6 linked regions of the Coturnix japonica genome follow. The protein of the gene in region 4 purifies or fractionates together with the protein of the main gene of each other region. This does not show direct contact. Links are inferred from orthologs where the notes say so. Each region holds a gene or a part of one and is shown on either strand. Other genes may lie near its edges. The genes, in order: COPB1, COPA, ARCN1, COPG1, COPE and NUDCD1.

Region 1 (5,139 bases), on a different chromosome or scaffold from region 4:
GTAAAAGACCATTCAGCTGTTTTCAACAGACGTATGAACAAGAGGTTTAAATTTCAGAAGGGCATTTTGTACCATGACACCTGAAAATTTATAGGGAAGGAAAAACACTCAGATGGCTGGCAAGAAAAGAGCTCACATACCTGTAACACTCGCTCATGGGAGGGATGCTCCTTTAACTCAACCAACCGATCCAAAACAATCAATTTCACATTATTATCACTTTCTTTAATAATCAAATCTATGTAGCATTGGGCAGCTGCCTACGTTAAAAAGGAACAAAAATATTTATGTAAGTAACAAAGTAGGAAACTGGGCAAATCTTGAAGACAAATTCAGGAAAAGACAGCTTTTACTTATCTACTAGAGCAACAATGCAATGAGTTGGCACCGAAATTAACCTGAGAAGTGTTTAAACTTTCTGATAAACCACAAAGATGGTTCCATCAGTTTGTTATAGTAACACCACAGGAAGATGCACAGCTTACAATTCACAGCCTTGATTTCAAATTCAAACAAAACCATAAATTTCCTTGCATGCTTTGAGTCAAATCTTAGGTATAGGACAGGACATAAAAATGAATTTAAAATAGTTGACAGTGTTAGCATATCTAGATATGGTTTTAATGACAGCTTCTCCGTATGATACACATACTCAAGGAAAATGACTGCACTAAAGCAAGAATGTAAGAATTAATACACCTGAATTAATACACTTCTTTTGAAGCTACTATTTACAATATTTTTACTCTTATTCTAGACTGGTATATTCTATTTTTCATTAGAATTTAGAATTCCCTTATGATCTCAAGTAATCAACACCACAAAGATAAATAGGAATGTGAGGTCAAGCAGGAATCAACACAGATCTTCAAAGCCGTGCGTTACCACTTTGAAAAAGAATCACATTTCAGAGTAATGAAAGTAATTCAATCTCTGGAAATCTTCAATACTGGTCATCTTTAACAAGAAGGTCAAGAAAACAGCAGGTTGATACCAACTACTGTGATAAATTGCACAGATGCACAAGCCTGTCCATCAGCAAGTGGCATGAGGTCCACCAGCCACAAATCTGCAACATACAGTCCTAGTCTCTTCTGAGCAATTTTAAGAGACGTTTTAAGACAGTTTTACACACGAACTGTCAAAACTGACATTTTCCTGAAGCCTTCATACTTCAAAAGTACAAGGTATAATACACAGCACTACAGTGCACCAGCAGGTAGTGGGATGTCTGGAAACAGCACTTCTATACCTTGATTGCAGTCGGTGCACTGGAGAGCGTAACTAGTGTTCCTGCTGCTTCATATTTCACTGCAGGACTCGATGACTGTAGCAGGTTGTAGATGCAGCGAATAAAGCGAGCTCTCTCTGATGGATTGGCATGACAGACCTACATACAAAGAAAATTAAGCAAATGGTGGCAACCTTTTCTGGGCATAAGAAGCATCACTCACAGTTGCAAAAATCTACTTTAAAAAGCTATTTAAACTTTAACCGAAAACAGTATGCAATACTGGAATGACACACACAAGTGGCTAAAATGCCTTTTCCAGCTGTGTTCTAACTGTTCTGCTGAGGGCTCTAATAGAACCTGTATTGTTTTAAATACATCACAATATATTTCCCTTTTACCTTATAAATCAGCTCAACAATAACCAACTGTAGAATGTCACCGAATGTCTGGACTTGGTCAATGCAGGTACTCAAATAATCCAATGCTCGATCCTAAACAAATAAAATGCAAATCATTCTAAGTTATTTCAGAGTTCTCAGCTACATTTTAAAGTAAAGCACATTTTAAAAATCAGAGAGTCATAGGGTCACCAAGGTTGGAAAAGTCCTCTGTGATCATCCAGTCCAAACATCCACCTCTCACCCATATCAGCGATCAGAACAAAACTACACAGTCAACCTTTCGACTGAAAGCTCAGAACTGATGGAGAAACGTTAAATGTGAAGACCAAATTAATAAACTCTGGCTACACATGGCAAAAAGCAAGACACGCTTAACATGTAATCAGGCACAAGGATCAATTGCCAGCATAGCAAATGAACAGAACTTGCCATTTCTTTCTCATAAAACTACAAAAGCTATAAAATGATAGATAATGGGAGTCTTCTCAGTCCAGTAATGCTCACAAGACAATACTGATTACAGTTTCCAGCAACAACATACGTCTTCCTCGAATGCAGCCAACTGTCCTTTAAAATGAGGACAGCACTAAAGACCTATGTTAATTTATCTACAGTTAATGAACAGCCCACAGCTCATGTACAGCTGTCACATGCATGTTTTTTGTTTGTTTTTTTATGAATATGTTCACACTTCTAACAAATTACTGGCTGGTTACCCAGGGCATTTTCAGATACTTACTCTAAAGAAATTAGGGGGCAAGTATCCTTACCTGATCTGCATGAATTAACATCATAAATGCATTTCTTTTGCAGCTCGCATCCTTTTCATTCACTAGGAAATCATGGATCAATTCAGGAGCATCGGGTATAAGATGTTCAAAATTTCTTAAAAAAAAAAAAATAAAAAAAATTTCTCCATAATTCAAAGACTATTGATAAGGGGGAGAACATGCAGCGTAATTGAATATGAAAAGCATGAAAGAGCAACATAAAGCTTTTGTGCAGTCATTGCCCAGTGAGCAAAAAAATTGTCTGCTATTATGACAGATAAAATATGACTCCATATATGATTTCGGCTTAATAGCAACACTTGGTCATAGTGTTTACATAAGAAAAAAAAAGCAATAGCATTCAGTATGTAAGCGGAGTAGAGGAAGAATGTCTTACTTCAAATAAATTTATATGCTTATACTCCTGTAAAGATTTTTCTCTTTTTATATTAGTGGATAACAATTACTGTTTATGAAGTTTAGATAACTAAGAAAGGCATCTGTCCTTACATATTAACCTGCAATATAAGAATCTCAGCGACAGCTACAAAAGCAAGAGCAGTACCTTCCACTTTTCCAAACTGGTTCTTTACAGAGGAAAAAGCAAACAAAAAACCACACCCCATGGCAACCTTCTCTTCCTCCCAGCTCCCAGAAATTAATTAGTGATTGATAAATATTTATTAGGTCTCACAAGCCACCCAGGCCACCAAATACAGCCTTCTGCAGCCACTTGAAACAGTTTCTGGCATTTACCTATAAATGGTGTAAATTGCAAGGACTGCATTTCTGCGCACATAGCTGTGACGATGCTCGAGGCACGCACGGATGGCTGGCATCAGAGGCTCCAGCAGTTCTGCTTCTTTCAGCTTACAAAGAAAACGAAGAGTAGAGCCTCGGATAAACTCATTTGGATGCTGAAGATCCTACAATCAAGAAGCACATTTGAAATGTCAGACACTACAGTTTAATTGCTAAGCTCAGGTGAATGAACTTGCTAGCCTCTTCCCAAGTTAAGTTTTTCAATACAGCAAGTTCCAAAAGTTTGAGGATGCTTCCTTACCTTTTTATTAAATACTGAAGTCCAATGAAATTTAAAATGAGCAAATCTGTGTAATAAAACTTGCAAGTCCTAAGTTTTTTCTGCTGCACTGCACATATTGTTTGTGACTCCTAAGCCTGTGAAAGCTCACCCTGCAGGCATTCCAGCACAGTGGCTACTAACCTCTACTGTGTATTAGTTCATCTGCTTGCAGTCTATTCCCACAGCAAATGAAGGATTATCTTTGTGATGGAGTATCCCAAATACACTGCAATGAAGACATGCCAAATACAGCATCTACTCTTATTGATCCACTGTGTGTCCAAGGACACTGTGGAGGTGGTAATGAGGTCACCCCTCATCTTCAAGACTCCGACTTGGAAAGATCAAGCATTTAACGTTTAATTGTAACAAGCAACATGAAGATTCATTAGTAGTTGGTTTGCTGGTTACCTACAATTCAGCCAGCTATGAAGCATTAAGACAAAATGGTTTGCAAGGAAATGCAGAGCATAAGACATTTTCATATATTTTATATAACAGAAAATGAAACACTTTCTAAAAAGTACAGTGTGTGAACATAGGTAGTAAAGTAAACAAGGAGCTACCTTTCTGTATGCATCACAGACAAGGATCATTTCCTGCAGAAGCCTGCCATCTGGAGTGGTCTTCGGCACTATCTCCCAGAAGACAAGCAGCAGCTTTTTGATGGTATGATCTTGGAGAGGCAGCACAAAACGTATAATGGTCATCAGAAGCCCGGGTAGTTTTTCGCCATTCAGAATCATAATAATCACTTTCTTCAAGGCTTCTGTCTTCAACTTGACATCTCCTTTTTCTAGAGTGGATAGAAAATTCAAGAAAGTGAATCACTGTAATTGTATACTTAGGAAGGCTAACATGACAGTTTGATAGGACCGGCTGTTTTCTGGTCAGAAGATACAACTTCTCCCTGACAGAGTGCAATTTAACATCTCAATAAAATCCACACCCTCACTTCTAAGAGCATAAAGAGGAAGCAAGAGGTATTTAAAGAATAAGCCTAGAGTTTAGACTTATTTCTGGGATCAATGTATTGGAATTAAATGAATTCAACAGATTGCATCACTGCTTCAATGCTTTGAAACAGCATTTCAAATCAGAATACTCCAATGCACTGTGATATTACAATCATTTTACTCCTGTTTCACTGCTTTAAACCATCTTTCTTATACACCAGGATACTATGATGTGCTTTGGTATCATACTAAATACTGACAAGAAAGATACAGCTGTGTACAGAACAGTGACTGACATACTTCCATTAGCTAAGCCCGCCCAGACCTCAACACGTATTGTTTTGCATGAAGACTGAAACAGATGTCAAAGTTCTACTCAGAATTTGGACAAAAAAGTCACATAAGATAAATATCACAAGCTTCTCAAACAGCAAGCAGAAGAATTTACACATTTCAAACATCAACATAAGATAAACACTCATTTGCTTGATTTTATGAAATGCAAACGATATTGCAGCAAAAGTGTAAGGACACTATGGAAGAGTGATACAGGAATGATGGATGATCCTTCTAATAATCAGCATCCATTACTTACCTAGGTCATTTTTTAAGCTGATTTCAGAAGGTGGTTCCGAATCCATTGGGACATTGATTAACGTGTAGCACACGTTCTCAGCAGCAGTCATGGCTCCTG
Region 2 (4,953 bases), on a different chromosome or scaffold from region 4:
CTGGCACAGGGAATCTGTTACTGAGAGATGCAGACTCCATCACCCTCTTTGACGTGCAGCAGAAGCGGTAAGATCCAGTCTGCTGGGAGAAGTTTTAATATTGTAATCCTGTTGGTGTGTGCCCTCTGGGGACGAGTCACAGCTATTAATGCACTCCAAAATTCAGCATCAGCTGCAGGCTGCATCAGTCTGATCCAAACCACGGCTAACAACTGTTAGGAAGAGCAGAGTGCAAACATAGCCAAGGTGTAATTTATGCTGCAGGCATTATGCCATTGATCACAGGGAGATGTGTGCCATAGCCTTGTAAATTCTGTGACTGTAGAATCGGGAGCTGTAAAAGTGCAAAGAAATCAAAAATCGCAGACTCAATCAAGCTAAACTTGCCCAACATCTTGTCCCTTAGGTTTTGTATCTGTTCAAAATGCTCTTAAAATTGCAATATGATAGCAAGCTTGTGCTATCCACAAAGAAACAGACTGGGAATATTGTTTTAACTCTTTAATGTCAGAGCTGTCTTTTTTTCCCCAGGACTCTGGCCTCGGTGAAGATCTCCAAGGTGAAATATGTCATCTGGTCAGCTGACATGTCCCACGTAGCTCTGTTGGCTAAGCATGGTAAGTAGGCAGGGCTGCAAAGTTTAACCTGGATCTTAGGGCGAGCTTGCTCCTTCCTTAGTTAAGAGCATGATCTGCTCAGAGCTCTGGCTAGCAGCATAGGTGCAGTTGGAGACAGATTCAGTGGACCCTTCCACTTTGTCTTCTTTAAAGTCTTATAGGACATGGGCTTTCTTTTGTTCCTCAGAGGATTCAGCTAATCTCTCTTTCACAAAATAAGGGCAGGTGGTGATTTCATTGTGATTGCTTTCATGTCCTTGGTGTTTGATTCTGATTACAGTCAGTATTTCTGAGGCTGTGGAGGAGGGAAGCTGTAATTCAAAGGCAGATACTTAATAGAGCTAACTGTACTGCCTTTCTTTTCTTGTCACCAGCCATCATGATCTGCAACAGAAAGCTGGAATCACTGTGCAACATCCATGAAAACATCCGTGTTAAGAGTGGTGCCTGGGATGAAAGTGGTGTTTTCATCTATACCACCAGCAACCACATCAAATACGCTGTCACCACAGGGTAAGTCTGGGGGGTCACAGGGTGAGTCCTTGAAATGATTGACCATGAACCATGGTGATTGTTTTTGGCAGACACTAAAGCTGGTGCTGCTGTAATTGTGCTTTTAGTACAGTGTGGGTGTACCCCAAGACAGAGCTAAATGTTTGGTCTTCATTTGTGGTTGGTTGCTTACACTGTTCACTGGGGTTTTATTGCTGGATTGGGTGGCTGCACTGTTCATCTAATTGGAGCTAAAATAATAATGTAGTGAGCTTCCTTTGAGATAGGAAGTGTGGCCATACAGATGTGTTGGTGTGTCTGTCACACGTGTACTGTGTTGGCATAGGGATCATGGCATCATCCGTACCCTGGACCTGCCTATCTATGTTACTCGTGTGAAGGGGAACAATGTGTACTGCCTGGACAGAGAATGTCGCCCCAGGGTCCTCACCATCGATCCCACAGAGTTCAAATTCAAGCTGGCATTGATCAACAGAAAGTATGATGAGGTGAGGAGGCATGAGAAACTACAGTGTTCCTTGACTGTGGCCTGAGGGTTAAGGAATGTGCCTTGTGAGTGGTGTTGTCAGCTTGACTGCCTGGGTGTTTTCTTTGCAGGTGCTACACATGGTGAGGAATGCAAAGCTTGTGGGCCAGTCCATCATTGCCTACTTGCAGAAGAAGGGTTACCCTGAGGTGGCCCTGCACTTTGTCAAGGATGAGAAGACCCGTTTCAGTCTGGCACTGGAGTGTGGCAACATTGAGGTAAGATGGTGGGTAGTGCTGTGAAAAGGATGTGTCTTTGGTTCTCTGCCCTGAGGGGGAGGGGGCAGAGAATTGAGCTCAAGTCTTGTGTTAAGCAGTTCCTTCAGATTTGTTGTACTAACCACATCAGTTCTCTTGTTAGATTGCCCTGGAAGCAGCCAAGGCTCTGGATGACAAGAATTGCTGGGAGAAACTGGGAGAAGTGGCACTACTGCAAGGAAATCATCAGATTGTGGAGATGTGTTACCAGCGCACCAAGAACTTTGATAGGCTCTCCTTCCTCTATCTTATTACTGGCAACTTGGAGAAGCTTCGGAAGATGATGAAGATAGGTGAGTACAAAAGTGAATGGGATAAGAGGAGCTGAGCATCATTCCCAGAGAAACGGCAGCAGCACAGAGAAGGCCAAGAAGAACAAAACTGACTCTGTTTTGTTTTGGTTTAGCTGAGATCCGTAAAGATATGAGTGGCCACTACCAGAATGCCTTGTATCTAGGAGATGTGGCAGAGAGAGTGAGGATCCTGAAGAACTGTGGACAAAGTAAGTAATAACAGATCAATGTGTTCCTCTCTGGCCTGGGGTGGTGCTGGAGAGTATTTTGGAATGACCACTAATTTTAGGAGAGAGATGAGAAACTGAACGAAGTGGATAGAAAGCTGGTCTGTGATGTTCTCCTTCTCCAGACAACAAAGGGCATGCATTCACATTAGTTGTATCTAATTTCAGAGTCCCTGGCCTATCTCACAGCTGCAACTCATGGCCTGGATGAGGAAGCTGAAAACCTGAAGGAAACATTTGATCCTGAGAAGGAAACGGTTAGCAACTTGATCAATGCTTCATAACAACAACAACACTGCAGTTTGGGATGGTTGACAATGGGATTTCATGTTAATTTGACCAGTTTGGCAGCTCCTTTTCTGGGAGTGGGGGCACCATCTTTGTTTCTTCTCACCACGTCCCATAGACTTGGAACTTTGCTGTGTGGAGCTGGGTCAAAGATGGGGATTTTCCTTATGTGGCCCTTAGCTGTTCTTCTCTTTTTCTGTTCAGATTCCAGACATCGATCCCAATGCAAAACTACTGCAGCCTCCTGCTCCTGTTATGCCTCTAGATACAAACTGGCCGTTGCTGACTGTCTCCAAGGGGTTCTTTGAAGGCACAATTGCTAGCAAAGGTATTTCATTGTACTTGGAAGGCTGTTAAGATACTCAGAGCAGATACAATTGTTTCTATGTCTACTGAGCTGTTGCTGTTAAACCCCACATTTGTTTTTACTACAAATCTATAGATTTTTGGATTTCAGAGTTGGTATTTATGCTGCCCTTGACAAATCTAAAAATCTGGCTTTTAACGTGAGTTTTGACAGTTATTTTCTTAATGCCTGACTTACTCGGATGTGCAAATGAATAGCCCTGTCCTTCTTTTAGGTAAAGGGGGTGCCTTGGCTGCTGACATTGATATCGACAATGTTGGCACCGAAGGCTGGGGAGAAGATGCAGAATTACAGCTCGATGAAGGTGAGTGTGTCAAACAATATTTCTTAGAGAAGTGAAAACGTGTGTCTGAGTAAGAGCTCTAACTGTTGTTGGTTTCTTTTCCTCCCCTCTCCATGCAGATGGCTTTGTGGATGCTGGAGAAGGCTTTGGAGAGGAAGGTCTGGGTAAAGGACAGGAAGAAGGAGGTGGATGGGAAGTTGAAGAAGATTTGGATCTTCCTCCTGAACTGGTAGGGAGTTCTTTGAGTCATTGATGCTTTTGGAAGGTGCTTGCAGCTGGGGGTTGGGAGGGAGAATACTGATCTGGGCTTCATTAGAAGCTTGGTCGCTACAGCTGTGGCCACCTCTGATTTCATCTGAGTGCTGGGAACTAATCTCTGCTCTGTGTTGTTCCCTTAGGATGTTCCTGCTGGTCCAGCAGGAGGAGCAGAAGATGGTTTCTTTGTGCCACCCACCAAGGGCACCAGCCCAGCTCAGGTAACATCACAAGTCTTTGATGTTTTTCAGAAACTTTCTACCTTGATGCTGTTTCATTTCTTCCAGATTTAGTCTTTACTAATATTCATCTGTGTGCACAGCGCAAGAACTTATTAAGGGGATTGAGGGCAGTGAGTGTGTGTATATGCACAGTATGATTTCCCTTCCATTCTTGCAGGTGTGGTGTAACAATTCACAGCTTCCTGTTGACCACATTCTGGCAGGTTCCTTTGAGACAGCAATGAGAGTAAGTTACACTTGGTGTTTCTGGGGGGAAGGGAGAGGGGAAAAAAGGTGCCCTTGTCCCCTTCTGTTTTTGTCTCTGCCCTCTGAAGCTTTGTTCTGTGAATCATTCTGTACATTTCTTTCTCTGGATGTAAATTAAGAGGGTCTGTGAGCCTGAGTGGTGTCTATGCAGCTTCCTTATGGCTCTGGACAAGTCAGTACATCATTGTATCCCTTTCAGCTCCTCCATGACCAGGTGGGAGTAACGAACTTTGGACCCTACAAGCAGCTGTTCCTGCAGACTTACGCCCGTGGCCGTACAACCTACCAAGCCCTGCCATGTCTCCCTACCATGTATGGCTACCCACATCGCAACTGGTAAGCAATATTGGGTTAGCTCCTCTTCTGTGCTCTTTTCCTGTTGCCATATATCCACAAGTCTTCAACAGTTATAGCCCAAATTAGTTAGGTGTTCTACCTCTGCTAGTCGTCTGAAGGTTGGGACATCTAAAGAAACATAGATGTGTATTTCTACTGTGATACTGGGGAAACTGCAGTGGAAAAATAAGTCAGACTTTTCCATCCTGTGTTAATGCAGCGAGAGCTTGGCATTGAGGGTGACAACTGTGGAAGCACAGGTGTTGTTTATGCTATGCTAATGGTCAAGAACAGCACAGCTCTAGGTTACAGTGCCATTAAGTTGCAGCTGTGTAATGCTGGTGTGTACTGGCTGGCCTCTGTGTTACTCCTACTTCTACTCCATCCCTTCTGTGGTGCCTCTAGGAAAGAAGCTGGCATAAAAAATGCCCTCCCAGCTGTTGGGCTGAAGCTCAATGACCTGATCCAGCGCTTGCAGCTGTGTTACCAGCTCACAACAGCTG
Region 3 (5,712 bases), on a different chromosome or scaffold from region 4:
CATAATACCTACCTCTCCATATTAATGGGCGGTGCAAGAACTTTGGCTGCTTCTGTAGAGCGTTTGCCTACAGAAGTCATGATATTTTCTCCCTCCGATTTCAGCTTGTCCACAAAGTTGTCCACCTCCTTCCCTTTGGCGCCCAGTTTCAAAGCTTTACTAGGACCTGATGGTCTAAACAAAACACACAAACACCTCCAAGTCAGTTCAGCACAGCAGTTTCATCCATCCTCAGTCTGATCTTCAAGTGTTGTAACTTCAACAATATTAAGCTCACTTCAGTAGCAGTACACACAGGAGGGGCCTGCCCTTCCCTATCTTCCTGTAGAGACAGAGTCACACACAGAATCCATAATTACAGTACAAAATGCTCCTTGCATGACCAGGGGGAGAGAAAGCTCTTGATTCCCAAAACACAGCACCAGCCTGACAAACACCAACAGACCACACCAGTGCCAGCCATACCTGACCACTCCCTTATGTACCCACACACACACACCAGGTACTTCAGCACCTGTTTATCCATGAAGACTCAGGAGGAAGCCAAACAAAACCCTTCAGACAGCACTAACTGCTGCCAACTGCACACACCTACCTGGACGGTGCTGGTGCCACTTTGGGCTTCTCTGTTTCAATGATGGTCTCTGTGATCATTGCTGCTGTTGTGCCCCCAGACACAGCTGAGCTGCCAAAGCCACCGAAGCCAGGCGCCTTCTTGCCCAGCCTCTCTGCATCCCTCCTGGCCTGCTGCAACTCCTTCGCTTTACGACGCATCTCAGCTTTTGCTTCACGTTCCTGAGTCTGAAATAAAAGATGAAAGCTGCTAAAGCTTTGCAATCTCAGTTTTATTCTGTACAGCTGCTCACGGTGTCTTCTTACAAACACAAAATGCCAAAGAATGGGTATTCAGTGTACAGGAAAGCTAAGTATCTTTAAAAGCCTTGCCAAAGTGGAGTAACACCTTTGCATAAAGAAGCAGTGCTCCCAAAGCACCTTGCACCACAATTAGTTCCACTCACCTCTCGGACAGCTCGGAACACCTTTTCTTCATGCGACTCCATCTCTGTGAAGGTCCGAATTTGTGCCAAGTTTACATTCTCACGGTAGCCCAGGGCAACAATTTCATCAAAGGCAAAAATCAGGTCAAAGCAGTGCTCAGAGATCTCATTCTCCTCTAGAGCTCGGCAATATTCAGGGATCTAGGTAGGGAAAAGCATTGCAAACAGATGTAGATGTGACAATCAGCACCCACTGAGCTGCTGTTTAAGATGAAGTTTTGTGACTATTTTTTTCCTTCAACTAAAACACTTATGGAGTCTTTCAGCACAGTTTTAACTTTGTAATTCACTACAAAACACACCCTGTGATGCTGCTCAGTTTCTTGAAGATCCTTCAGCTGCACAGATATAGATTATGAAGTTAATTAAAAAAACAACTGCAAAAACCCATGACTTAGAAATCCATTTAGAGCACTGCTATGCTTCTCAATCACAATGTGAAGCCAGGACTGAAGGAATGCAGTTGCTACCTAAAGAACATAGAAATATCTGACACTACATTCGCAGCATCTCTTTGGCCTCACCAGTTAAATGGCAAGCATGGATTTCTCACATGTAGTTCAAAATTACCACAGGAGCAGCAAAGGTTACTTCCAGGTCAGGAACAAGCCATAGATAACCAAGTTATGAGGTGGAGGCAGAGTGCTTCAGCACCAGCTTGCCACTGTTTGGGGCTACAGGTGTGAACACAGGACCCGACGTGTAGATCCTTACCACTCTAGAGAAGAGTCGGAGTGTTTCCAGGTCTTCCAGGATGTTGCTGTTTTTCGTGGTGATCAGCACCATGTAGAGCTTCTCCATCGGCTGATACACGTACCTCACGCTCTCTGTTTCCACAAAGGTGTGTTGCTTCCCAGTGTTCATCAGTTTGGGGAAAGCTGCCAGCAGCCCCTCGATGCGGGTTCGGGTCATCTCCACAAACTGCCGGGAGACGATGGCCTTCCCTGCCTTGGTGCAGACAGCTGCCGCCAACAGCACCTATAGGGACACAGACACAGCATTGAAAGCTCTCAGTCCTCCATTCAGGCTAATGCAACACCTTTTCCTATAGGGCTATGACAAAACCCCAGCAATGCTTTAGGCAAAAACTGACTTATCTGTTAGTTCAGCCCCAGCAGAAAAGTCACAATAAAGACCAGAACACTTTGAAATGTGACATCTCTTCCCAGTGCCACACTTAAACTAAGCCGGGTTAATAAAATATTGACCATTATATTAATTACAGCACGTGGATGGTTCTCCTGGGCATTTCACTGATGTTATCACACCAACAATAGAAAGGCATTAAGGTAACTGCCAATTCACCCTTTCTCATTCTCTCCGCCTCGACTTCGTCCTGAAATACTTCTCTCACAGATTAGTTTCTTAATTAACATAGTGAAGATAAAGCAGTTTCTAAAGGTAAGATCCTTTCACTCCCCAGCCAGTTTTAATCACAGTATCCTAACAATGAGAAGCACCAGAAGTTCTTCAGTGTCTGTACATTTCAAGCATGAACCCCAGCACGGCCAGGTGAGCAGCCAGCAACTGCTGTACATTGAGTGGCCATAGGAACCCTGTAGTCAGGGATATCTTGAAGAAAGCAACAGGCATAAGCCTCCATTTCCCAACTGCTCTTTGAAAGGGCTGTGAGTGCAGCACAGCACAGCACAGCACCGAATGGCACAGCTGATCTCAGCAGCACCTCGGCCTCTGTCACCAAGCAGCAGGTCCCGTTCGGGGACGGAAAGCTCACAGCTCCACGTCACCCACAGCCAACGGGACACAAGTGACCTCCACCCGAGCTGGCAGCTGAGGCAGCAAGAGACGAGGCCTGGTTACAGATGTCAGCCTTAACGCTGCAAGCAGCCTCCACGTTACACATCACGCAGCGCACAGCGGGCAGTGCCCCCCAACCGCCCTGCGGCAGCGCCCGGTAAGCGGAGCTGGAGGCTCCCACAGGCCGCGCCACGTCCGGGCCCGGAGCGCAGCGTCACCCGGCGGGGCAGCACGGCCTGGAGCGGCCCGGGTCCATCGCGGAGCTGCGGAGCGATCCGACAGTGCTCGGGGACGAGGCCAGAGAACGGCAGCGGAGCCGCCGAGCGATGAGCGGCCTGGCCAGGCCCCGCGAGCTCTCCGACCCCGGTCCGGCCGGCAGCGGCCCCACGAGCGGCGGCTGAGCTCTGGGCACAGCCTTACCATGGCGGCGGCTCATGGCCGGGCACACCCTTACCATGGCGGCGGCGCTCGGCTCGGCGCTCGCTCCCTCGCGGCTCCGCGTCCCCTCGGGCAGCCCCACAAGATGGCGGCGCCGAGCCACGTCCCCAGCCGGAAGCGGCGCCGCGCACGACGCGAGGGGCGGGGCGGGGCGGGAGGACCCGGAGCGCGGCCCTGGGGGCGGCCCGCGTCAGTACCGGCCCCGGCCGGCAGGGGGCGACACCCACACGCGGCTGCGGGGCCGGGCCGCGGGCGCCGCTCTAGCCGGGAGAGGGAGAGCGAGACGGGGTCGCCATGGCGACGGAAGGCGGCGTCATGGCGGAGCGGCGGCCGGCCGAGGGGAGCGGGGACGGGCCGGGCCGCGCCATCGCCTCCCCGCGACCCTCCGCACAGCCTCGGCCCGTGGAGAACCAGCCGTACGACGAGAGCCTGGAGCTGCCGGACACCGAGGAGGCGGCGGGGAGCGAGAACCGGCCGCAGGGATCCCGCCGGCCGGGGCCGATCTGGTCGGGAGGAGGCGGCACGGGAGCGCGGCCCAGCGGGGCGGGAGAGCGCGGCAACGACCGGGAGGGAGGAGGAGGCAGCAGCAGCAGCAAGGTACGGGGGGAGAGGGGCGGTACGGCACGGGACGGTACGGCATGGTATGGTACGGTATGGTACGGTACGGTACGGTATGGCACGGTATGGTACGGTACGGTACGGTATGGTACGGTATGGTACGGTATGGTGCGGTATGGTACGGTATGGTACGGTATGGTACGGTATGGTGCGGTATGGTACGGTATGGTACGGTATGGCATGGTATGGTACAATACGGTATGATACGGAACGGTACTGCACGGTACGGTACGGTATGGCTCGGTACAGTACGGTACGATACGGTACGGTACGGTACAGTATGGCACGGTACGGTACAGCACGGTATGGTATGATACGGTACGATACAGTACAGTACGGTACGGCACGGCACGGTACGGTACAGTAAGTAAGGCCGCGTCCCTCCTGCCCTGAAGGAAACAGTGGCCAGGCTGGGACCCTCCACCGCCAGCGAGGACGACGATGATGACGATGATGATGATGATGATGACGATGATGAGGATTCCTCCGAGAGCGACTCTGAGGACTCGGAGGAGCGCGGGGCTTCACTGGAGGGGTGAGCAGCGGAGGGAGCCGGGAACCCGTGGCTTAAAAGGGTTGAACAGAGTTGTGCACGGACAGGAAGCCTCTTACAGTGAGAGTGTCCTGCTTCTGCTTTGGGGCACAGCTGGATCCATGTTCGTGCCTTTGTTCTTGTACAAAAACTGATAGGAAGTAATGTCTGCAAGAATTGCTTTTCCTCTCTTCAGTGACTACAACCTCGCAAACTATGACTACCTGCCGGTATCTCCTGAAATTAAAGAACTCTTTGAATACATAAGGAGGTGAGTTGAAGGAGCTTTCGCCTGCCCTGGGTTCTCCTTTGTCTCAAGGTCTTTGTCTCTGGCAGGAAATGTCAATTGCCCACTATGCAATCCTGTTGTTTTTCTCTCTCAAGATACACTCCGAAAACAATACAGATTGAGCACAAACTGCAGCCTTTTATTCCAGACTTCATTCCTGCTGTTGGAGACATTGATGCCTTCCTAAAGGTACAGTGTTTTCAGATATCCCCATACCTGCTGACACACAGGGTGAAACAGAAGGTGGTTTAGATATGAGCCTGGCAGACTGCAGCCACACTGACCTGGTGGTAGCGAGGTGCCCTTGCCCTGTGCTGCAGATACTGCTGTAGACACCTAGGAGATCACAAATAGCAACACTATGACCTGGCTGGTCACTTTGGTAACATCCCACATAGCACATATGTAATTTGGTGCAAGGGCTGCCTGTTTCTTTGTCCAACACCTTATGCATTTCAGGTACCGCTGTGTTAACAACTCGTATTTTCTGCTCTTTCAAAGCATCACGCTTACAAATTTCTTCTGAATTGAGTCTGAATTTCTAACAACAGGGAGAAGCTGTACAGAATAGTTCCAGCATCCCCTGCTACTCCCATAGAGGATTCCTTCTGTGTTTTACCTGCAGGTCCCACGCCCAGATGGCAAGCCTGATAACCTCGGTCTGCTGGTCTTAGATGAGCCATCAACAAAGCAGTCAGATCCCACAGTACTCTCTCTTTGGCTAACGGAGAATTCCAAACAGCACAACATTACAGTGAGTCATGGGGAGAGAGAAAACATTTACTGCACCCAGGCTAGAATGAAGACATTGCACTTTACTCTTTGTGGGACTATAGCAACACAACACAACTGATAACTTGGCTTTAAAAGCAGAAAAATAACCCTTTTTGACCTATAGCTTTAAACTGAAATGTATCTAAGCCCTGCCTCAGGCAAGTCTCAGTACAGACTTAGGAAAACCACCACAAAGTGCTTCCAGGTTTCTATTTTTGTTTCAGCAGCAGATAAAAGTGAAAAGT
Region 4 (5,007 bases):
TATTGCCTCAGCTCGGGCAGTGGAAACAGAGCGGTGGCTTTCACTTCCTCCTGCACAGCGCTGTGTTGTGCCTGCCCAGAGCAGCACAGCTGTGAGCACAGAGTGCGGCTGCACTCAGACACCATGGGTAGATGAGGATACACATAGAAACGTGCACTGTATCCCACTGAGCTCCCCCAAGCACCCACACCCCGACCAACTGAGGGGCACCCTGTTCCAACTGCCGGGTGAAGGTGGCTGAGAGATCCATGTTATGCTTCAGGGTGTCATCGCAGGGCTCAGCCTGTGTCTCCCTGTGCACATATAGCTCATATAGACCATGCACAGCCGCCAGCTGTGGGTTGGCCATGGCTCAGTGCCCCCACTTCGGGCTGTTGGGGCTCAAATAACGGTAACCCCAGCGGTGTCACCTCAGCCCAGCCCAGCCCACAATACAGCTCCAGGCTGCTGGGAGAACCCACAGCAGCTCCCGACCGGCCCCCGCAGCAGCGCAGCCCCGACTCCCCGCCCTCCTCGGTGCCGCGCCGATATGAACGAGATACTTTCGTAACACGGACTTTGAGAACCAAAACAAGCGGCCACCACCACCACCCAACAACCCTCCCCGCCCCCCACACCCACATACCCCCCATCCAACCCCACTCCCCGCGGGGCCGTTACCTGCTGGACGTGCTTTCTGGACAGCAGCACCGGGCCGCAGGACTGCGGGCCCTTGTTGTACGAGGGCCGGTAACGCTCCTCCCGCAGCCACTCGGGCTGTTGTCTCCGACCCCTCCGGTCTCTATAGGCGCAGGCCCGGCGGAGCCGCGCGGCCCCGAGGGAGCAGGCCGTGCGCCCGCACATCGCCGCCCGCAGCCCCGCTCTGCCCCGCTCCGCCCCCCGGAGGTGGGGCCGGCAGGGGCGGGGTGTGCGGGCACCGCGATGAGATGGACGGCAGGGAGCAAAGCCAGCATCCAGAGATGGAGGAGGAGCAACGAGAGGCTTTATTGTCAGCTCGGGAGCTGCCGGGATGGCGGCTGGGGGAGCAGCTCGGCTTGGAGCCGCCCATCAGGGCAAAGCGGTTCGTAAAATCAGAGCTTAAAAACAGCGTTATTTTACAGACAGAGCCCCGCATCCAGGTCCCCAAATGCACTGATGAAGCTGCTGCGGTGAACGTGATCCCTTATCCTCCCCTGGCACAGAGGAGGCGGCGGGCAGCGCTCAGCCCACAGAGGCCATGATGACATCCACAGGGAGCTCCTCCGCGCTGCGGGCCGTCACCTGCATCGTCACCGTGTCGGTCAGCAGCAGCCGAGCCCGGAGCAGCAGGTCGTGACCGCCCCGGAACACACCTGGAAGGAGGGGACAGGAACGGGGCGGGGGGTTAGAAGGGACCCCACGTGGGAACTCTCAGTCACAGCGAGCTACACTTGTAATACGAAGTGTCCAGCACTCGGCCATGGGCTGGGCAAAGTGCCACCCTTCTCCCCTCAATCTCCTTCCAGAACAGGATGCTGCAGCTCAGCAAGGCTGCAAGTCCCACCCAGCTGAGCCTCAGCTCACCCCAGTTCCAATAGCAGCCACCCTACACTTGCAAAAGACACAAAGCGATGGCATGGGGTCCATCCCAACCCCACGCAGGGCTCAGGGAGCACATCGGGAGCTCAGGGAGCACATCGGGAGCTCCTGCTTTGACTTTCAGCTCAGTGCAACCTTATGGAGCCGCTGCTCCAGCACAGCTCACCTGCCAGGTACAGCGTGTGAGAATTTTTGTTATCTGGCACTTTATCCGACCGCTCGCAGGGCTGCATCCCCAGGAACTTCACGATATTGCTAACGGCCTCTGTTAAGAAGAAGTACAACATTGCCTTGACAAGGACACACAAATCCTCTTTGTGTGTTGCGGTCTTTGCTCAAGGGAGGGAAATGTTAAGAGCCCTGCTGGGTTCAGACACTGCCTTACCTTCAAGGGTTTTAATTGCAGATAAAGTAAAGGTTTCTTCCTTTTCGTACTCATCACCCACTTCATCCCAAGCAGCTCCAAAGTTGGGCTTCAGAACTCGCTGGATGTGATCAGCCACTGTTACCTCAAGATCTTCAAGCTGGAGGTAAGAAGAGGCCCAAGTGAAACAGGGTTGTTACTTACTTTGCCTTCTCCAGACTGAGCTGCAGACTGGATTCCCTGAGATCAGGCCCAGGAGACAAGTCTTCACTTCTACTCAGGAATAGATCAGAGCAAGCTCTGTCCCTTCTAGTTTGTTCAAGCAAAGAATTAATTAGTTGAGCAGCTGCTTGTCCTGGGAAGCCAAGCTGTGCCACTTGCAGGGCTCACAGAGCAGGTTCCCAACCTGAGCTCAGCCCTTGGCCTGACAGGGATCAGAGCACCAGGCAAACAGCCAGAGCAGTGGACAAGACATAAAAGCTGCTGGCGCTCACACTGCTGTGCCATCTGCTGCCCTAGAACGCACATAAGCTGGTATTTTACCTTCCTGGCCTCTTGTTTTGTAGGCTGGTAAAGTACCGTGAGACACAGTCAGATGTTTGCTGTAACATAAGGCTGCATGCCAGGATAGCTGAACTGCTGCTGTGACTACGTCTGTGTAAGAAACAACTGTGTTGGTTCCCCTGGAGCACATATCTAAGAGCAGTCAGTGCCAGAACTGGCCTGACATTCACTGTAGCAATTGCTGCAGGAAAGAATCTCCCCTTGAATCTAGTTGAAACAGATGGAAGAGTTTGTTTAAACATCACTCTGATGCCCTGATGCCTGGTGGGAAGCAGGCAGAGGGGTCAGCCCTACACATTCCTGTGGTAAAATCCCTCCCCAGTCCTTCTGGGAGGATGCCATGTCCTCAGTGACTCACTGCACAGCAGTTCCCCTCATCAGATTCACAACAGAGACAGGCAACACAGAGAAAACAGCTTCTGAAGGTAACAAGGCAAGCTGAATTCGTGTCACAACATCCCTTCATCTCTGGAGGGAAAACACCACCCTCTGGGAGGCAGTTCCAGTTTTTGACCAAGCATGAGCTTCCTGTGTGATAAAACAGCCAGGAGACAAGATTTCACAGCATCAGTGCTTTCATCAGTCTCACTGCTAAGGAGGTAATGCCAGAGGAAGAGCAAGGATGGCAGTCCTCCTATATCAGATAGACCACTGATAATTAACCACAGAGAGCAATTCTGGTGGGAAGAAGAGATGGCCAACAGCATTCTGTCCCCCAGAACTGCCCGTGCCACTGCTGGAGCCCATAGGGCACAGCCAACCAAGCCCAGGGGACACACCATTGCCTCCCAGAATGCAAGTTCCCTGCATACCCAGGGGTCTGCCTGGAGAGCAGCAGGAGGATGCTCCAAACGAGACAAACAAGCTCTCCAAACACACATCCTGCATCTTGGGACGGACACCACAGGGGTAGAAAGACTCCCATCTCCCTGTGATTCCATCTGCAGCAGTGTCAGTGGGCACACCATTGCTTGCATGGCAAGTTACTGGGTACAGATCACAACACTCCTCATGACGACTGCAGTTTGATGTGGCACGTGCCCAGCTCCTTACCACATATTCATCCTCGTAACCCTCGTCGTCTGTTTCACCCGTGTTTGGATCGCAGTCCTTGACAGTGAATTTCATCATGCAGCTGAATGTGCAGGCCACTGCAGGCAGGGGAGGCAAAAGCAAAGCTCACATTACCACCAGATCCATTCCTCTGCAGGAGAACAGGGCTGGGAAACTTGGGGCAGGTGGGTTCTCCCCCTCCCAGTCAGCAGCACAGGCTTAGCACATGACCTAGAAAGTGTGCTGACAGCTTCTTTCTCTCAAGGACAAAGTACTTATTTGTAATGCTAGGGCCAGCAAACAGTGATAAATACAGACTCCCGATGGCTGCACAATAATCTTCAGATCAAGTCCTGTTACTCATGAATATCAAGTTGTGTTGGGAATACAAACTAAGCGTGTCCCATCAACCTCTTGTGAAGGAGGTGAGACCCTTATCTAGGGATCAGTTCATACACCTTGGAAATGAAACCACCTTGCACTGCAGCACAGCAGATGATTAATATCGTTCAGCTGGGAGAGGAAGCAGTGACTCATCTCTGAAGGCAGGCACTGCTGCATGAAGGGCAGCAGCACACAGGTGAGCAGCCTCAGAACAAGCCAGCAATCAAAGCACAGACTGGGCCTGGTTTATGTTCTGACAGTGACAAACAAGGGAATGCCCTGGAATTCTGGCCATTTGTCTGAAATGCTCCTTGAGTACTCTGTGCCCTCATGGCAAATCATAGCAAAGCAGACAGCTACTCGCCTCCCCGTGTGCTAAGAGCAGGCTAAAGGACACACCAGGGTGCAACAAAGACATTTCAGCAGAGATCTGAGTGCTCATCTGCCAGTTGCCACAGCCCAACAGTGTTTTAACACAAGGGAACCAGGAGGAGAAGGGAGGCCTGACAGCCAGCCCTCAAGCAGCAAGGAGAAGTCATGCTTGGCATCACTCAGGGATGCACCCACACACAGTCTATAAATATCTGCAAGGTAGAATGCATGTGGGCGTAAGCAATACGGTATGCTTAATTTGGGGGAATATCATGGAAAACAGAGCACAAACTGTTTACCTGCTGTTGGATCCTCTTCAGACAGTGCCACCAGCGTGTAGCAGGTGCCTGGCTGGTTGTACACCAGGCTTTTGGCAGGGATGTAGCCAATGACCTCATACCCCTCTGTTGGCTCCATCTGCACAGTGACATTCTCCAGGATCTGATCGTTCAGGGTGTTGGTACAGTCAAACTAAGCAGGGAAGGAGAGAACAAAGACAGCTTGAAGCTCTCAGCTCTAGATGTAAGAGCAGATTCACTTCACGCACAGTGGGAGCATGGTGTTAACTTGTGAAGTGCCTCTGTCTCAGCAGGGAGTGCAGCTATCACAGGGTTCATGCTTCCATTTAGTCTCAGTGGAACTGGCATCCAAATGTTTTAGGGGAGAAGCTAAAAACTTTCAGAGGACTCCAGTTCTCCACTAACTTGTTTTTA
Region 5 (4,206 bases), on a different chromosome or scaffold from region 4:
CCATGCTTCTCCTTGTTCCACCTTGACACACCAGGAAGCTTTATCCTCTCCTTACAGTGCAAAGAAAGCAGGTGTTTCCACCACCCCATTAGAGTTACAGCAGGTGCAGGAGTTAAACCACGGGACTAAAGGCTTTGGGATAACGAGATGGACCTGGAGAAACACAAACCTCATACCCAGCCCTTATAACAGCCCTTTGAGATACCCAACATGGGCAGCCTGCATTCCAGCTGGATCATAGAACATAGAAATCATCAAGGAGCTCACAATTAAAAGCAATCGATGTGAAATGCTGACACAAAGTCTCTCCTTGCTGAGGAACCTCAGAGCAACGCGTTCTGCATCAGCCACCGAGCAGCAATTGGTGCCTAATGCACCTCAATGACAACCTGAGTGCAGCAGAAATACTCCCTACTAACCAGAAACAGACAAATAATCGCTCATAAATAGAAAACCCATCTATGGAACTCTATGTAAAGCGATGAGTTTGAAGCAATCTAAAAGTCATTGCTTTGCCCACAGCCATTCCAGCAGAGTCATTTCAACTTCTCTAATTGGTCTGGGGCAGCAAAGAGAAAACACAAACTCGTTCTTCTCAGAGCTCTGACCAACACATCCCCCCCCTCCTATTCTCACACTGACAGCGCTGGCTCCTACTATGGCACTTGCTTTTATTGTTTACGTTTTTTAAGTCAATTTATCATGGCCCATCAAGTGGGTAATGGCTGCCCTGAGCACACAAGCCCCTTTCACATCTCCCTCAGACAGCTCCACAAAGGAAACATTCATCCAAGACTGGACCACGAATAACCCCTCATTGAAAAGAGCTGCTCGCTAAACAAGCCAAGGAAAGAGACAACGAGCTCTTTCAGAGCGATCACAGCGAGGTGGGCACAAAGGAAATGCCAGTTGGACACATTTACAGTGTAGTATAAACCCCCTCTTCTGCCTCCCCCCCAAAAACGCTTCCCAAAAGATAAATTCAAAAGAGAAATCAAATATTAGAGCTCAGGAGGCCCCGCTGAGGGATCCAGATGGGATCTTCGTATCTCTGACACAACACAACCAACCAACACAAAGAGCAGCCTGAAATGCTGCACGGGAGTCCAAGGCATCATCACACGGTGCTCTATTATGTTCCATTACACGTCAGGTGCAACGACCATCACGTTTCTCAGGAATGACTGGGGATAAATAGACTTCTGCATGTATTGCAGGATGTACTTTGTTAAGAGAAAGCTCTAATGCTTTCCTGGCTCCAGGACACGAGATGTTGCATTTATCAACTTAAGATCAGGGCTGAGCCTGTTACAATTGGATTATTTCTATTCTGGGGAAGCTTTCCCTCTCCCCAGCAGTAACCCCTACAGCTGTGCATCCTTCTTCCGGAGGACGTTAACCTAAATGGAGTCATTATCAGACTGAAAGAACAGCCAGGACTCAGGATTCATCCACCAACCCAAGTCTGATACTTGAAGTGAACCTTCACACTCTGCCCCCATAGGTATAACATCCTCAGTACATGACATGGCTCAGAACAGAATCACTTCTGTTTACTAATTTACATTTCAGAATGTAAATTAAGGGGCACACAGATCCAGAAAAGGCTTTATTAGGAATGTTTAAGGTACAGTGTTGCAAACTTGATTCGTATTTTAAACAGTTGAAACCCCAAGAAAGCCACAACACAGGCTTTTTAGCTACCAAGTTCAAGTAGCTACACGTTATATACAGACTTAGCAACGCTCTCCTGCATTGCAAGACCCTGCCACAGTGAGTTACACCAGACCCAACTTGCAAAGGCCATTTTTCCATGTGACCAGAAAGGATCTGAATAACAACCCCACTTCCCAGGTACCATAGAGCAGCTCTGTTCCCCTCTCCTCAGGCGCTGGGGGCATATTGCATGGCCAGTCGGTCAAAGTCATTCTCCTTCAAACCAGAAACAAAAATATAATGAACTAATTTCAAACATTACTGAAAAATGTCATAAAACTTGCAGTAACTCTCAGCTATAGAGTTCTATCAACCAGGGCAAAATGAATTCTAAAAAGCAAACTGTCCACATCAGTTCTCTATGATTTCATTCTCCCTTCCCTGTTATCTTCCTCTGCCCATCCCCTCCATTCTTTCTCATCCAGAAGATTTTCTCTATTTAAGCAGTGTCTCAACCTAACAAACAAGTCTGTAATCTGGGTTAGATGGACCTCAAAGCATTTCTTTCCAGATGCCACCAAATTCAGGGTATACTTCATCTATATATGTCGTATAGATACTCAATCTGGATGTTGATCATTTCCCAATGCATCTCACAAGGGCTAGAAACATTGCTGGCAGTGGTTAGATGCTGGAGAAGGAACATGGGCCGACCCTTTCAGAACCATAGACATGCTTACTAGTAACAAATCCCTCTGCCCCATCCTCTTGTTGCTGTAAGTCATTATAAACTCAGTTTCATATCGCAAAATAACAAGTACCTTTGCCTGATACTCCTTTATGAACGGATGGTTTTTATGTGCATCCTTCAACTGTGACAAATAACGATTTGTAACCTGATGGGATGAAAAAGGGAGATTTAAATACTGAAATAACACCAAGAAAAGCCAAAAAAGTTTAAACCGATACTTCTATGACTTCGTTCTCAATGAGCTAAGAGCTGATTTCTTCAGCACCCTCAATGTTAGCAGCCCCATTTAAATCAGTAAGACCTTCAATAGCAGATTCAACAAAAGGAGAAAATCAAGCTCAGAACTTGGGAGATCTCTTTCTCCACCCCAGGTTTTCCTCTGAAGTACATACCCCTGTCTACAGACAGACTTTATTGAATACTGAATACCACCCCGCACCCCAAAACTCCAAATCTATTTTATTTTCTTAACACCAATCCCAGTGAGAACACAAGACTGCAAAACCCAAACGTTATCAGGCACAGTAGGAACACACAACCTGCCCCCAGGCAGAGCAGCCTGATCTGCTTCTTGAGTACCATAAAATAAGCCTCACCTCTGGTGGTTTGCCCAGGTGTTGTGACAGGACAACAAAGTTGATCAAGGTCTCAGGATGGCCACTATCCTGGAAAGAAAAACAATCACCTGTCTTTGTGACTTATCCCTAACACAATAAGTGTAACACCTGGCACTGCTGTGCAAGAACAACTGACGAGCCCGTAGCTCACTTTAATAGAACAGGTAGAGTAGAAGGCAGATGTTAATAGCAACCACTCTTAGGGACATTTTCATAAAGCATAATGAAATTCCTTGCTGTTATAGCCTCTATGCGTAAGAGATAGTTAGATTCAAGCCAATTTGCCAGGCAAAACCATTAAGTACCTTGTCCAGTGCCTCTTGAAGTACCCCCTCTGCATCATCCCACTTGCCCTGAGCCATATAGCAGGCTGCCTGCCCATTAAGCAGGAGGAGGGTGGAGGAGCATTTGTCTGCCATCTCTTGGAAGATGTAATAGGCGTCCTGTAACTTCTCACCACCCTGCAAAAGGACACAAGCATGCAGTTTCACTGTGTATTGCTAAGAAGGCTGTATTCTGTTTTTGTGGCTAAAGAAAGGGGCCAAGAAGTTAATTTGAAGGGTTATAAAATGAGCTATTGTCATTCACAGAGTCTCCTCTGAGAGATCACTGTAAGACTACAGATGAAAGGAATGCAAAAATATTAAATATTAAGAAGCACTTAAATGATCAAAAGATCAAGAAACATTTCAAAAGAACCACTTCAGAACACCGACTTAATGTTTGGAAGAACATTACAACGTAATAAAAGACTATGAAATGAGATCTTACAATTAAACCCAGGTACAGACACCTGGCTTTTCAAAACATTCCTGCTTTAGAAAGGTTTCAGATGCAGCAGCTTGCACTGATTAGAGGATGAATGTTTCCCTAGAGGAAAATAAGATCTTAAGGAAAACTCAGCCCCAGGTTACTGTTACTGTTGTAACAGGTTACTGCACGCATACCTTGGAGTTTACTGAATCTTAGGAGACTGGTTTCAAACACCTGACATCTGGACTTAACAGACAACACGTGTTTTTGGCTGATCTGAAACTCTTCATTACAATACAATTTCTTGCCAACCAGTTGCAGGCACCAAAAGAACAAGTTTAATGAGATGGTGGTAACTTGGTAAAAGGCCATCACAAACTAAGCACAGAGTCTTGTCTGAATGCTGTTTCTCAGATATCGTAGGCCAGG
Region 6 (5,139 bases), on a different chromosome or scaffold from region 4:
AGTGTGCTCTAGCACAGGTCCTCATAGGTAGCAGCTCCCCCAGCCCTCCTGCCTCACCATGGGTTCCTCCATGGAAGGAAATTCAGGAGTTATAGTGGTAATAACAGCCATTAATGAAACAAAGCACAGCAAATTGAAAAAAATATATATATAAGCTTCAGTTTTATCTGCTACTCTCTCAGCATCTACTGTTTCATTAATGAAGAGCCACTTTGTCACATAAGAGAAGTACAGACCAAACCCTTCCTACTCTTCGCTCTCCGCCCTTGGGTTGAGGACAGATGTGCAAAGCAGTTCAGTTTAGAAACATCTATCTAGATATTTGGGTCTTATATGCGCCAAAGGATTAGAGAATGCAATGTGCACTTTAAGACAATGATACAAATCAACACTCTCCAGAAACTACCCCCATAAATTTGTACGTTGGCAGATATAAGACATGGAAGAAGAAAAACAACAACATAATAACAATACCTTTAAAAAACAATACAGGAGTTTGCAAAGAACAAGGAGTGCAGCAGTGCATGTATTGGCAACATACATGACCCTGCAGTGCTGACAATCCCCAGAAATCTGTCTCAACAGAAAACTCCTTAACATAATCAGCATTATTTTAAGGAACCGCTTATTTCTATTTCTCTACTTTGTTTCAATAACACAGGAAATAAACAAATCCTTTAAAACAACTTAAAAACTTTTATTATTAAATTTGATATTTTTTTTTTCATTTAAATTTGTAGAAGTATACATGATACATTCCAAATACGCAGCCAACCAAGTGAAATACTTGTGAAAGTACACTGAAATAAAGAATGCAAGTTTTTAATAGTCCAATACATTCTAAACAGATTGTGATTGGGACATCTCAGAAAGCACTGTCCTCAAATGTAGGATTTTATTTCTTGAAATTTTACAAAAACAATGAAGAATGGTTCTCAGAAAACTGTGTCTTAAATATCCCCATTCTCTACTTTGTATATGCCTACAATAATATGCTAAACAAATAAGCCTTAAAATTAATTGAACACAGAAATGGAAATGCTGATAGAAAACGTCTCCCTGTGGCTTGCAGCCATTTAATTATAGCAGCTTGCTGTGCAACAGCATGCAAGGTTCCTCAAGGCAATGAATCTTTTAAATAATACTATGTCCTTAACTCTCAGAGAAAGTGAAATAAAAGAGACTGACATATCCTGTCTGAGAACACCAAAATCATGAACACACAAGCAACATGGAACATGAGATGAACTTCTCCCCATGTTCAGTTGTTCCCATAAGAACAATGACTCCCCTGAAACTGACATGTTAGGGAAGCATGTTTTTAGTCATTACATATTATAACAGTCTGCAAAGAGCTGATTATTCTACTTGGCTTTGTTTCAGCTATTTCAGAAGACAACAGAAGTTTGTTTCCAGATATATATGTTACAGCAAGGAGGAATTTCATAAAGACCAGAAATTCTCATCCATAGTCAGGTTACTATTTAATGTTCATATAAATCTCAATGTACTTTATGCTGGAAAGTAATCAGCTGCATGGACTGCTACATATTTCTACCATGTCTGTTCAGCATTGTTACTCAACATGAAATTTAGCTGCAAAAGTTATGTAAAAGTCATACATTCACTGAGGCTTTTTAACAAGTATTTCCAAGACAGTTTAAACAAAAATGCATGAGAAGTGAAGGTTTGCAGATGGAATCTGTTTTAACACACCCAGGTAACAAAAAATCTTTTCACAAATGGATATACAAAATAACAGTGACATAAAGTGGAGAAAAATCAGGCTCCTTGGAAAGCTGAACTTGGAGCTTCTTAATATCCCTCTTGAACTTCACACCATATCATTTAATCATTTGATACAAAACTACAGAGTTTATGCGCAAGCGAAAACAATCAAAATCAATCTGGTAGTCTGTAATAACAAAGGACATTTTCTTCTCAATATATTCTTGCAGAGGTCAAAAATAGTATTAACAAAGATGCAAAGTACTAGGATGTGTTTGACTCAGTACTCTGGTACCACAGAACATTGCAGCTTTTGTGACAGCACAAAATCTACTCATCAGGCATCCTTTGCTATAGAGTTTTATGTAAACTATGAGAATAAAAATGAAGAGGAAGTTGTCAAAACTGACCTTTTTTGGTTTAATTCTATTGACACTATCACTTTAAAATAAGAAAGAAATATTCAAGAACAGTTTTTCAACAAAATGATCCACTCCTGCTTGGTAACAAGCAACTTCAAAGCATCCTCATCATCTGTGCACTCTTATATTGGACACATACCACATCTGGACTTGTGCACTGGGTACAGAGTAGTCAAGAAATTCTGTTATTTATGGTGATATCTAAGGCAGCAGCAGAACCTTTGAATTTCCCATCTCAGGTTACAACACAGGTGCATTTTCTGTTAGCTAATAGCAAATTAGTCACTTAAGCACATCTTGAAATGAAAATGAGACATTGGTACGAATCAAAGTCTTACTGCATTCTTAATCATATCAACATCAGCTACGCATTCACTCCTATTCAGTTTTAAGAAAATTTCACTGGCATTTATTCCAGCATCTCTTAAAATGTGAATAGATTCCATTACAAGCACGAGTCAGTCACAGAATTTTACACTATCAATTTGGATATACAATAAAATATTTCCACTTGAGTTAAACTGTTTTTTGGCCAACAGTCTGTGCATTTGGATATTTTTTTTTAAGCACACGCAGTTCCTTACACTGCACGCTATATGCTTGTAGCATGAGTCTGTATTTTCTTTATCTGATGACTTTTTTTCAGAGGTAAAACTATCAGTTAAAATCAGAAGTGAACTCTCAAATTTCAGAAGTCTGGCAAGCAGTCACTGGAAAAAGAAATGCATAAATCTATTCACTTCTGCAAACTGCAGTCTCTAGAAAGCTGCTCGCACACAAGGCATTTTTATTCGCCTCCAAAAAAGCTCATTTCAGCAACAGTGAAGCTGAAATCCTCTCACTGACTTACAGGTAAGTTCTAATGAAAAAACCTGATTCCCCTGTAAAATATCTCCTTGTTAAACTTCAGCAAAATGTACCAAACTCCTCAGATCACTTACCTGGCCATTTCTTTAACATATAAACATAAACTACAGCAAAATATACTAATTAATTTCCAGCATTCACCTTTATCAAAAACAAGGTTTTTGTTGTGAGAACAAATAATCTTTCATTTGTAGCTTGAAAGCCTAAGATTGGATTGCTGGCTTCCAGAGTTGCTACCAGCTGCTTTGCAACCTGTCCTACTTGTCTTCCTTCCTTCCTGTTGTAGAGAACTGTGGTCAGAGGAGTTGGCTGGCGATAGATGAAAATTCGCCGCAAGCACTCGCAAAGAGCAGCATAGGAATAGTCTGGGGCACAAGCCATGAACTTCTTGTCTTGTTTTGATGCTTGAACATAACCTGCATAGCCCAGAAAGACAGAGAGAAATAGAAATGTAATATACTGACCTCAATAACAGTTTAAATAGCTGTCAAAATCAAGCTTAGCTTCAAAAATAATAGGCGATTACCAGGGAATTTTTGAATTCGCAACTAAAACAGGATTAGTAACACACAAGTGGTTTCTCTGCAGCCGAGCAGTGCTTGCACAGTAACCTTCTTCCAAATCTTTGCCCTGCACATCCAGTCAGTTTAGGGTCTCAAAATGATCCATGCAACAGAGACCCTCCTTCAACAAACTGCAGTAAGAAGAAGCAGGACCAAGCGCTGCTCCTTCAAAGTGTAGTAGATGCTTAGAATTTATCTGTAATCAGCTAAAGGTCTTTTCAAACATTACTCCCTTTCCAAGAGAAAGCTGACACAACAGACATCTGGAGCAAAACATACTTGGTCTTTTAGGTTTCCCTTTGGTTCCTTCCTTAAGTTTCAGTCCAAAACTTGGATTGAAAAAATAAAGTTAAAAAATATATATATATAACTTATTTTCTTTGTATTATTAATTAAAAATGAATTCCAAAAGTTGAAACAAATAAAGCAGAAAAGAGCACTAATATTATTATTTTGGCCAATACAATCAATACAGTAATATTGGAAATTTAACATAGAAAATATTCATTTCTAGAATTAGCTCTTGCAAAGCAGTTCAAAACTTGGTTGTAGAAAAACAAGCTGATAGTTTACATCATCTTCAGCATATAAAAGGCAAACTAGGTTAGCACAAAGTCTAGTTGGAAAATTCAATATAATAATGAGAAATGACTGTAAGTAGGGCTAAAGAATAATTTTTTTTTAATCACCACAGGTAAAAAAGCTCAAATATATAATTATTTTCAAAACAATAGAAAAACATCATTAGAACATTACTTAAAAGTCAGCATAGAAACTTGAAACAAGCAATAATATGAAAAAAAAAACCCTAAACCTTAGTCCTTATCATCTGTTTTCCAGTACAATGAAATTTGAAACAAGTAAACAAAGAATAAACTGTGAAATTAATCTCTTCTGTTAAAAAACAAAACCATTTAGAGCTTAATATGGCCTTAAGTGAAAATAACAAGCTACTTTAAAAAGTCATTCATATACAAAACGTAATAGATTGCAAAAACCCAGAACAAATCCAATTATCCAATTAAACTGCTTATCTTCCCTTTAGTTTTAGATGCAGGCTAACAGTGATGTGGTCAAAAAATGCATTTAGAGGATGGAGGGAATTAACTGACACACTCATGACATTATTAAAAGAACAGGTTGAGACCACACCTGGAGAAGATGAAGACAGAAATTGTTACAGCAGACAAATTCTACACTGATTAATTTAAAAGAAATTTGATTGTCTCCATTACTTAATAGGTACAGCACAGGGCCAGGATGAATATTTTGCTTACTCTGATACAGCAATTATTATTCTTGTATGCATATATTTTAAGTATTTTCTGCTTTTGAGCTAATTCCAACAATTGCTTCCAACAATGGCTATAACAAAATTCCTAGGCCTGAGTGCAAGGATACAGCAGTAACTGAGCGTGCTTCATAGTCATGTTGTTCTGTATTTATGGCACACTGTAATCTCAAAGTTCAGGGGCTTCTTGAACCCGAGCTGGCACAGCATTGCTCTCAATTGATTTTTCCTTTAATAATTGTGGTTTTTTTTTTTAATTTATGATTTT

What was found.
Region 1: the proteins of COPG1 (region 4) and COPB1 fractionate together in Homo sapiens (co-fractionation; 11 studies listed by BioGRID and IntAct, counting the BioPlex papers as one, with this or other methods). This does not show direct contact. The link is inferred for Coturnix japonica from reciprocal best matches to the Homo sapiens genes COPG1 and COPB1.
Region 2: the proteins of COPG1 (region 4) and COPA purify together in Homo sapiens (affinity purification with mass spectrometry; 6 studies listed by BioGRID and IntAct, counting the BioPlex papers as one, with this or other methods). This does not show direct contact. The link is inferred for Coturnix japonica from reciprocal best matches to the Homo sapiens genes COPG1 and COPA.
Region 3: the proteins of COPG1 (region 4) and ARCN1 purify together in Homo sapiens (affinity purification with mass spectrometry; 6 studies listed by BioGRID and IntAct, counting the BioPlex papers as one, with this or other methods). This does not show direct contact. The link is inferred for Coturnix japonica from reciprocal best matches to the Homo sapiens genes COPG1 and ARCN1.
Region 5: the proteins of COPG1 (region 4) and COPE fractionate together in Homo sapiens (co-fractionation; 6 studies listed by BioGRID and IntAct, counting the BioPlex papers as one, with this or other methods). This does not show direct contact. The link is inferred for Coturnix japonica from reciprocal best matches to the Homo sapiens genes COPG1 and COPE.
Region 6: the proteins of COPG1 (region 4) and NUDCD1 purify together in Homo sapiens (affinity purification with mass spectrometry; 3 studies listed by BioGRID and IntAct, counting the BioPlex papers as one, with this or other methods). This does not show direct contact. The link is inferred for Coturnix japonica from reciprocal best matches to the Homo sapiens genes COPG1 and NUDCD1.

What each region holds. Positions count from the first base shown.
Region 1 is NC_029520.1:14,573,100-14,578,238, forward strand, and holds part of COPB1 (coatomer subunit beta), read right to left. Parts: 5' UTR 5,132-5,139; coding exon 5,041-5,131; intron 4,286-5,040; coding exon 4,056-4,285; intron 3,332-4,055; coding exon 3,162-3,331; intron 2,521-3,161; coding exon 2,406-2,520; intron 1,726-2,405; coding exon 1,633-1,725; intron 1,391-1,632; coding exon 1,253-1,390; intron 261-1,252; coding exon 141-260; intron 1-140. UniProt on the Homo sapiens protein: The coatomer is a cytosolic protein complex that binds to dilysine motifs and reversibly associates with Golgi non-clathrin-coated vesicles, which further mediate biosynthetic protein transport from the ER, via the Golgi up to the trans Golgi network.
Region 2 is NC_029540.1:868,426-873,378, forward strand, and holds part of COPA (coatomer subunit alpha), read left to right. Parts: coding exon 1-67; intron 68-531; coding exon 532-617; intron 618-991; coding exon 992-1,130; intron 1,131-1,455; coding exon 1,456-1,618; intron 1,619-1,727; coding exon 1,728-1,874; intron 1,875-2,016; coding exon 2,017-2,206; intron 2,207-2,319; coding exon 2,320-2,415; intron 2,416-2,601; coding exon 2,602-2,690; intron 2,691-2,925; coding exon 2,926-3,049; intron 3,050-3,302; coding exon 3,303-3,392; intron 3,393-3,490; coding exon 3,491-3,600; intron 3,601-3,769; coding exon 3,770-3,847; intron 3,848-4,025; coding exon 4,026-4,094; intron 4,095-4,313; coding exon 4,314-4,450; intron 4,451-4,855; coding exon 4,856-4,953. UniProt on the Homo sapiens protein: The coatomer is a cytosolic protein complex that binds to dilysine motifs and reversibly associates with Golgi non-clathrin-coated vesicles, which further mediate biosynthetic protein transport from the ER, via the Golgi up to the trans Golgi network.
Region 3 is NC_029539.1:4,767,207-4,772,918, forward strand, and holds the start of ARCN1 (coatomer subunit delta), read right to left. Parts: upstream 3,442-5,712; 5' UTR 3,274-3,441; coding exon 3,271-3,273; intron 3,255-3,270; exon of another isoform or gene 3,240-3,254; coding exon of another isoform or gene 3,237-3,239; intron 2,037-3,236; coding exon 1,773-2,036; intron 1,200-1,772; coding exon 1,020-1,199; intron 802-1,019; coding exon 596-801; intron 175-595; coding exon 13-174; intron 1-12. Other genes in the region: IFT46 (intraflagellar transport protein 46 homolog), read left to right, coding at 3,549-3,851, 4,268-4,407, 4,601-4,675, 4,789-4,882, 5,319-5,447, 5,692-5,712. UniProt on the Homo sapiens protein: Component of the coatomer, a cytosolic protein complex that binds to dilysine motifs and reversibly associates with Golgi non-clathrin-coated vesicles, which further mediate biosynthetic protein transport from the ER, via the Golgi up to the trans Golgi network.
Region 4 is NC_029527.1:6,777,388-6,782,394, reverse strand, and holds the end of COPG1 (coatomer subunit gamma-1), read right to left. Parts: intron 4,766-5,007; coding exon 4,594-4,765; intron 3,637-4,593; coding exon 3,539-3,636; intron 2,082-3,538; coding exon 1,943-2,081; intron 1,823-1,942; coding exon 1,724-1,822; intron 1,332-1,723; coding exon 1,201-1,331; 3' UTR 961-1,200; downstream 1-960. Other genes in the region: abasic site processing protein HMCES, read right to left, coding at 661-843. UniProt on the Homo sapiens protein: The coatomer is a cytosolic protein complex that binds to dilysine motifs and reversibly associates with Golgi non-clathrin-coated vesicles, which further mediate biosynthetic protein transport from the ER, via the Golgi up to the trans Golgi network.
Region 5 is NC_029543.1:2,778,031-2,782,236, reverse strand, and holds the end of COPE (coatomer subunit epsilon), read right to left. Parts: intron 3,486-4,206; coding exon 3,330-3,485; intron 3,073-3,329; coding exon 3,004-3,072; intron 2,553-3,003; coding exon 2,478-2,552; intron 1,933-2,477; coding exon 1,885-1,932; 3' UTR 1,581-1,884; downstream 1-1,580. UniProt on the Homo sapiens protein: The coatomer is a cytosolic protein complex that binds to dilysine motifs and reversibly associates with Golgi non-clathrin-coated vesicles, which further mediate biosynthetic protein transport from the ER, via the Golgi up to the trans Golgi network.
Region 6 is NC_029517.1:119,459,242-119,464,380, forward strand, and holds the end of NUDCD1 (nudC domain-containing protein 1), read right to left. Parts: intron 3,434-5,139; coding exon 3,141-3,433; 3' UTR 682-3,140; downstream 1-681.